Alligator mississippiensis: one gene and its partner. The protein of the gene in region 2 purifies or fractionates together with the protein of the main gene of each other region. This does not show direct contact. Links are inferred from orthologs where the notes say so. Each region holds a gene or a part of one and is shown on either strand. Other genes may lie near its edges.

The links.
Region 1: the proteins of AKAP7 (region 2) and PRKACB purify together in Homo sapiens (affinity purification with mass spectrometry; 4 studies listed by BioGRID and IntAct, counting the BioPlex papers as one, with this or other methods). This does not show direct contact. The link is inferred for Alligator mississippiensis from reciprocal best matches to the Homo sapiens genes AKAP7 and PRKACB.

Annotation. Positions count from the first base shown.
Region 1 is NC_081828.1:27,867,883-27,871,803, reverse strand, and holds the start of PRKACB (cAMP-dependent protein kinase catalytic subunit beta), read right to left. Parts: upstream 2,856-3,921; 5' UTR 2,841-2,855; coding exon 2,654-2,840; intron 1-2,653. UniProt on the Homo sapiens protein: Mediates cAMP-dependent signaling triggered by receptor binding to GPCRs.
Region 2 is NC_081824.1:113,910,708-113,914,628, reverse strand, and holds the start of AKAP7 (A-kinase anchoring protein 7), read right to left. Parts: upstream 2,432-3,921; 5' UTR 2,295-2,431; coding exon 2,249-2,294; intron 185-2,248; exon of another isoform or gene 98-184; intron 69-97; exon of another isoform or gene 1-68. UniProt on the Homo sapiens protein: Probably targets cAMP-dependent protein kinase (PKA) to the cellular membrane or cytoskeletal structures.

The DNA of each region.
Region 1 (3,921 bases), on a different chromosome or scaffold from region 2:
CAGTTGAACAAAGGACAGTGCTACAGTATTTTTCAGTCTTGTAAACATTAGGACAACTTCTTGAAAACTTTAAATTGTGCCTCCTGAATGTATTTCCGCTCCTCTCCACCCCCTGTCAAGGTGTGAAAACATGTAGATTTCGTGGACTAGGATACAGAAATGTTTAGGGATCTTAGGGCTCAACGCTTCATTATATTCTAGACCATCTCTCTCCAAATCTTCTCTTCTGTCAAGCAGATAGGGCTTTATACTTATCTCCAGAGCATCTGAGCCTACCAAATACATTAGCAAACTAAGCCTCACAAGGAAAGCAGGAAAGTGTTTAAATGACGTAGTTATTCCCATGTAAAATTCATGGTGCAGCCCAAAATGGACCTATCTTTTTTCATTCCCAATTTTTCTGCATTAATGACAAGACTATCCTTCCATCTAAAAAAATATCAGGATTCTGCCTGCCCTAGAGAACTCAGACGCTAGAATCAATGCCGTAAGTCTCCCCACTGCTTCCCTTGCTCAATAGAAGCATGGTTCCTGTAGAGCAGGGGCGCTCAACCCCCAGCCCACAGGCCAACCTTGGTCTGCAGACATGGCATCAGGCCTGCAAGGCTCCCCAAGGGTTGGGAAATTTGGCAAGGCTAGCCATGAGCAGCCAGACTGGAGCCTGTCCAGGATTTGGATCAAGCTGGATCATGGCTGGGCCACCCCACCTTCCCTTCCCTCACTCTCCCATGTACAGCTGGATAGGGGCCAGACCACACCCCTGCCCTCTGCACAGCTGGCCATGTCCCCTTGTCTCTGTGGACAGACCAGGCACTGCCCATTTGGCCTGCAGTGCAAAAAGGTTAAGCCAATCTCAGAATACCACAGGATCCTTTTAAGCATATCATGGGGTGCTGCTCAGTATTAGCACTGTTAAGGGTGCAAACATCTACACACAATCTACACGATAAACCCAAGAATTCGAATAAGAAACATTCTGACATATTGTGGTCTGAGTTCTTTGCGACAGAATTGCTGTTATTTTTCTGCAGTCAACCCGCCCCCCCCCAAAAATAAACCCAAACAAAAGCCAAGAGTAGGGTATTGCCCAAGAGGTACCTTGAGTCTAAAAATATTGAGAACTAGTGCTGTTGAGCCACCTCCAACCCCATACATCTCTAACCAGGCCTTTCACGTATGTGCAATAACAGAGAGGGAAAAGTTCCATTTTAAAGAAACCCATTAAAATTGATGTGAAAAGGAAAAAATACGTTTACAAATTATGTATAAAGCTGCGCTGAAATGTTTCAGGGGTCTCAAGTCATGCAGTTTCCCTAATGCAGTTTCCCCTTTACTCTCCTTGATGGCTGACTGTCTCATAAAACCAGGTGCTTTCTCTGTACCTCAGGTAGGAAACATAGATTGCATCTAGTGTAGGTATATGAAACACCTTCCACTTTCCATGTTTAATATACACCCTTTAAGGTTGGACCACTCACTAATGACAACGTTTTAGCTTCACAACAGGCATGTTTTTCTGCAGAGATCTTATAATACTAGGAAGTGCACACATTTTGCTTATGTCTGTTATTTTCAATAGAAGTAACTGCTTGCGTTATTCCAACTCATTGCAAATTCAGATATGAAATTAAATGCCATGACCATATTGCAATATATAAAATGTGTAGATTATGATTCATTACTTACAATAAAGTAATATTGAGCAGATATACATGCTTAATTATATACAAAAGTATTGTATAGAAGCAAGTATGTAAGAGCTAGACTTATGTCATTATAATTTACTAGGACTATGAAATCTTTAAAAGATCTCACCTTCACTTCTTCAGAAATATGGGGATGAAAGATAAGTATGTACATTTCTAATAACAAATAATTTAAGTAAATATGTACAAAGTAGCAGCATTATTTTTACTTAACTGATGATGTTTGTTGGAATCAAGTTTTGTGCATTTTAATCAAGCACATTTTATGTAACACAGATAAATACACCCCTTTCTCAGTACAAATGAACAATTATGAAATAACAGTATCAATAATCAAAGTTATAAATCAAAGTTGAGTGAAACAATCTGTAATAATAATAATCACTGAACTGCTTTGATGTTTAATGTTTTAATAAGCACTCTAAAATGAATTTTAAATTTCAGTTAAAAATAAAGCTGCACTACAAGGGACAAGTGTCCCTCTACTTAATGACCCAATCAACATAAAATAATGTCCTTCCTTTCCAAAATTTCAGAATTAAAAAAAAATCCTACCTTAAACACCAAAACACACCTGAACATTTTTTAAAACAGGAAAGCTATCAATTATTGCTTGCAAATTTACATCTTAAAGAAAGAAATGACAAACAAATGCCAGAAAGAAAAAAAGTTTGCAAAAAATTCCAGCAAGTCAACAACATTTGCCTAGAAGAAAAGGGAATTTGCAAGCAACTAACTCTCCTCCCCAAAACCCAATATTTTGAAACAATGCCATGTTTCCACCTGCATGATAAAATATCTATTTCTTTAAAGTAGTATTTCTAACTGTTAAGCTATGAAAAGATTGCTGCATTATATGGTAGTTTCTATACTGCATATTTATGTTTGTTTGCAAATTTCCTCATACTACTATGCAAAATGAACCTCAAGTGTCTAAAAGCACTTACTTGATCTGTCCCACAAGGCAGTGAATTCAGAGAAATGATGGCTCTCATCTTCCAGAGCCACTTTCTGTTCATGAACAGCACCCCTAGATTGCCTATGAAAAAGTCGATTAGCAAAGCCTTCCAGTCTCTGTAGAGCTGTAGTTGTTCCTGTGCACTGGTTACAAGCCAGTTCCTTCTGACTTGCCATCTATATACATTGACAACTTACTTTAAAAAAAAAACCAGAAAAAAAACCAACACAAAACATCTAAAAGGAGCTGAACAACTTACACAGAAGCTAAGAAGTATGCATGTGTCAAACTTCCTGTATGCAGTGTTTTGAAACCACTACTTCTGTTCTACTTCCTGTTAATATTAAACTGCACATTATGGAGCTTTTCTTAGCAAAAACCTCTTCCTATCAGCTGAAGGTGATGATTAGAAGAGCTGTTAATATTTTTCTTAAACTTGGAGTTCAACAGCTTTTTTAAAAACTAAAAATATGATGAAATAATTAAAATATACAGTCTGCCTTATGACAGAGACAAAAATCAGAAACCAGGTAATATTTAAAAAAACTGGTTATTATCCATGTATCTAAAAATAAATGAATTACAGGAAAAAGACAAAGGACAAGTTTTCCATTTCCCTCACAGGATTAAGATGCAGTCTTACCAGAATCATATATTATAGTTAATTGATTATATTAAGCTATGGTGTCCACATTTTCACATTTTCTAAGTGTTAAAAATAACTGATGGTATGTATTAAAAGCACCATTTTCTTCTTTTTGTTTAGGAAGGCCAGACTGAAGTAAAATACTGATCATTTCCTCTGCCCACATGAACAAGATTCTACAAAGCTACTGCTTACACCTTCTAGTTTTACCCTGCTGCAAAAACCAAGTTGTGAATGAGGTCACTTATGGAGTAAAAAAACTACACTGGATGACTGCTGCTAGTGGATTCTGGGCCTTACTAATGGATACATGATACATTGCTCCCCCCATCCAGCTCCCAATGTACATGAATGGATAGACACAAGATCCCAATCACCAAACTACCTCATAATATTGGAGCTCCAGCTCCAAGAGTAGTGAGATTATATGAATTCTCATTTTTCAGGTTATAAAAGGTTGTAGAATAACTTTTGAAACTACAATCCTTAAAGGATCAAAAAACAGAAAACTGATAAAAATCTAAAATGTATTACCATGTATTTTCCAATACAATCCACACCTCCTTTCCCAAAATCAGCTCCCAAAAATGGGGTGCACAAATTAAGAAGGG
Region 2 (3,921 bases):
GTAATGATAATGTCCTTTGACAGAGTATTCCAAGTTTAGGAAACAAGTTTACTGCTTTGAAAACTCATGTACAGACACTGCCCAAAAATACCTGTACCTTGTCATCAAGTAGGCTAGACCTCCTTAGTCCTCCTTTGTTTGACACAATGGTGACACAAACCAAATGGCAGCACAAATCAAAAACCTGATGGCAGCACAAACCAAAAATCAAGGACATAAAAATGCAATTAATTCCTTAATGATAAAACAATATGTTTTATAATCTATCATAATCATATCTGACACAAAATTTATGAGAATAAAAGTGTTTCTGGAGAGGTAAGGCAGACTTAAAACAGGCAGGAGTTAGTTATTCAGTTCCCTCCGCTCACCCAGACCTCAATTTGTTAATAAGGATGGGGCAAGAGACCACGTAGTTTAATGTGTTAGTCTGAAGTCAAATAGAAGGCAAGATAGATTTGCACCTTATAGACTAACCTTATATACTAATCTATATCTACACCTACTGTATTTATTTGATTCGAAGACAAGGTTCCCCCCATACCATTTAATATGGGAGAAGGGGGGAAAGGCCCTTGTCTTGGAACCCATTACAAGGGGGCAGGACACCGGGGCTAGGCAGCTGCTGTGATTCTCTGTTGGGACCACAGCCATGGCTGCTGTCTGCCCCCGCTGGCTCTATACACCCTGGTCCCCACTTACCATCTGCCACCGCCTGACTGCTTTGCCCACTGCAGTGGTGCTGAGGACAAAATTAAGATGACGCTCCACTAATAAGATTCTATACATGGAAAAATTATAACAAAGTAACACATTTTCTATGTCTAGAATCTAATTATTGGTGGAGGACTGTCTTAAATTCAGGATTGTCTTGGATCTGGGTAAGTATGGTATAGATCTATATCTATGCCTATACTTATGTCTACTTCAGTATCTCTCTTTTTTAGAGAGAGAAAGATCTGCACCTACTTTGGTTAGTAGATACCAAAGTGGTTATAGCTATAGCTCTAACCATATACATATACATACACATATATAGCTATAACCACTTCGGTATCTACTAACCAAAGTAGATTGAGCACCACTGCTTTAGCTAATCACAACTCTTCTACTTTTCAAGTGCTTGTCATCTCCTTTCCTACTACTTGGGGGCCTGGATCCCACATCAGTTCTCATAGCCAGTGGTAGAACTTTTTATTATTTAAGCATTAACTTCACTTTAGGCATTAAGGCATTACTGGCAAGGGCAGATCATAACAAAGTTTTCTCTCTCTCTTTTAACTGTTACTTTATGAAATCAAATTGTGACAATACTAAAAGTGTCTGATATAGACACACACTTTTAGTATTGCCACAATTTGATTTCATAAAGTAACAGTTAAAATACACACACATACACATACACTCATATGGACATATCTATACTTTAGTCGGTAGATTGATCCATTGATCGATCTTTTGATAGATAGTTATACCCATACTTCGGTAGGTAGATAGACAGATAGCTCTATATTTAGACAGACTTAGATATGCAGGTATGTAGGTAGGCAGATCTATACTTTGATTGGTAGGCAGGCTTATTAGATAAATATAACTATACTTTGGTAAACAGGGACAGCGGTGCTTTGGTAGACAGACAGGCTGATCTATACTTTGGCAGATGGCAGACAGACAGAACAACTAATTGACGAAGCAGCACTTGGGCTGGATGGTAGGTAGGTCAGAGGACACTTTGGTTGGTAGATAGGTAGATCAGTAGACAGACAGATCACCAGACACATACAAACATATTTCGGTTGACAGACAGACAGGCCGAGCTATACTTTGGCAGGCAGATAAAGCAGATGGACAGACAGACCGCTCGATGGATAGTCTGGCAGGCAGGTGGGTCAGCAGCTGGATCGCTACAGCTCTCGTTTGCTAGATCCACACGGACTCTCTGGTAGGCAGAGACATTGCTCTGTAGTCGGGTAGGCGACAGACAGACAGACAGACACTTGGGCAGATCGGGGGTGGGCAGGGCAGGCACAGCCAGACCGATCTCTACGGTGGCAGACGAGCCGAGCAGACAGACCGGGAGACACGCCCACGTGCGGTCTCCAGGCAGAACAGCCTCCGATATGCGGCGGTGGGACCCGGGGGCGGAGCCTTCCCTCCAGCCCCCTAGGGCGGTGATGTCATGGGGCTCCGCCCCTCCGCCTGCGCATGCGCCTTGGGAGTTACCCTCCCCACCCTCTCCTCTCCTCACCCTGCGACGGCGGCGGCGAAGGTGGCTCCTCCCGCGGCAGCGCCATGGCTCGGGCCGGGCCCAGCACGCGGCCGGCCTCCCGCAGCGCCCCACCCCCACTGCACGGCGGCGCCCGCGGGCCCGGGGCCCAGAGCGGGAAGAGCCGGAGCAGCGCCCCCCGTCGCGCCAGGAACAGCCGCAGCGGCAGCAGCATGTCCCGCCCCACCCCGCCCAGCTCCGCTACGGCGCGGCACAGGGGCCAGAAGGGCCGCCCCGCACCCGGGACCGGCTTCCGCGCCTTTCACCCCGGGGTGCGTTTAGTGATCTGGTGTCCCTGTCCTGACATGCTGCCTGCCCAGTATGCTGTTCTGCTTTCCCTTCCCAGTGTGATCCACTGCTCCACTTCCTGCTGCCTGCTGTCTCTGCTGCCTGCCCAGTCTGCTGCTCAGCTTTTTACTCCCTGCCCCCACCCCTCTCTGGCTCCTGACCCATAGCAGGCTGCCACCCAGGTTGCCTGTTGGCCACCTCTGCCTCTACAGTGCCAGGTTTGGGTTTGATGGGGTGGCTTAAAAAAAGAAAAGGCATTTCCAAATAGGCGGTTAGGGCAAGGAGTTCACTTTTATTTTGGGGTACAGGGTGGCCAGGATGCCTTGGGGTGAAATCTTGTATTGGGTCCGTTCCTGCTTCGGGGAATCTCGGATTTTGAAATGGGGCAAAAGGGGGTTGAGGGAGATGGGCAGATGGTGTGGTGTATTGTCACATATAAGCACAACACAACACTTTTTTCCCCAGGTAAGGGGAAGAAGCTAGAAGTGTTATTGATATCCTAGGGGCCTGGGGCTGTATTATTCCAGGTTAAGATGAAAGCAAAAACAAACCTAACTTCACTGACGTGCATTCATTTGCTGTGTCACATATTATATATTAAAAAGCTCAGCGGAAATAATCAGAAGATGTTGTTTCTTTAGTCTTGTAGTCATTAAGAATTAAAAGTATCTCAGAGCCATAAAACAAAATCAAGCCTTTATGAGCATCTTGATGGTGCATCTGGTGCTTCAACTGAACGTTATTTCCATGCCTGAGTTAATGTTCTCCTGAATTCATGTTTCCATACCTGAGCTACTGTTTTTAGGTAGAGTCCAAGCCGTCCACAGTGCTATGAAGTAGTAGCTACACTACCAGGAGCAGCTAGAGATGACAGAATTGCAGATGAAAGGGTAGCTTGCTTTGTGGACTATTAAGATGGCTAATAAAGGGTCACTAACCCCTGTGGAGTGAAGGATTTAGAATGGGGAGGTAAAATATGGGCCGCAGGCCAGATCCAACATGCCAACTGATTGGACCCAGCCTGTGGCTGCCCCTGTGGTGCTCCAGATGGGGCTGAGCTGTGACTGGGCCAGCCTGTGCTTCACTCCAGCCCCAGGCCAGGCCAGCATGCGCAGCTTCCCACAGGGCTAATCCAGATGTGGCTACAGCCACATGGGTGCTGCTCAGCCTCTAGCAGTGGCTCCTCCTATTGCTGTGCTGCCCCGAGCAGGAAGCAAGCTTCAGTCGGGTGGAGTGGGTGGAAGTCAGCCGGATCCCTGCATGCTGGGGCAGGAGCTGCCTGGCTGAAGCTTCCTCCCCACCTGGAGCAGTGCAGTCAGTGTAGGAGGAAGAGCTGCAGCTGGAGGTGAGGGGAGCCAAGCTGCACC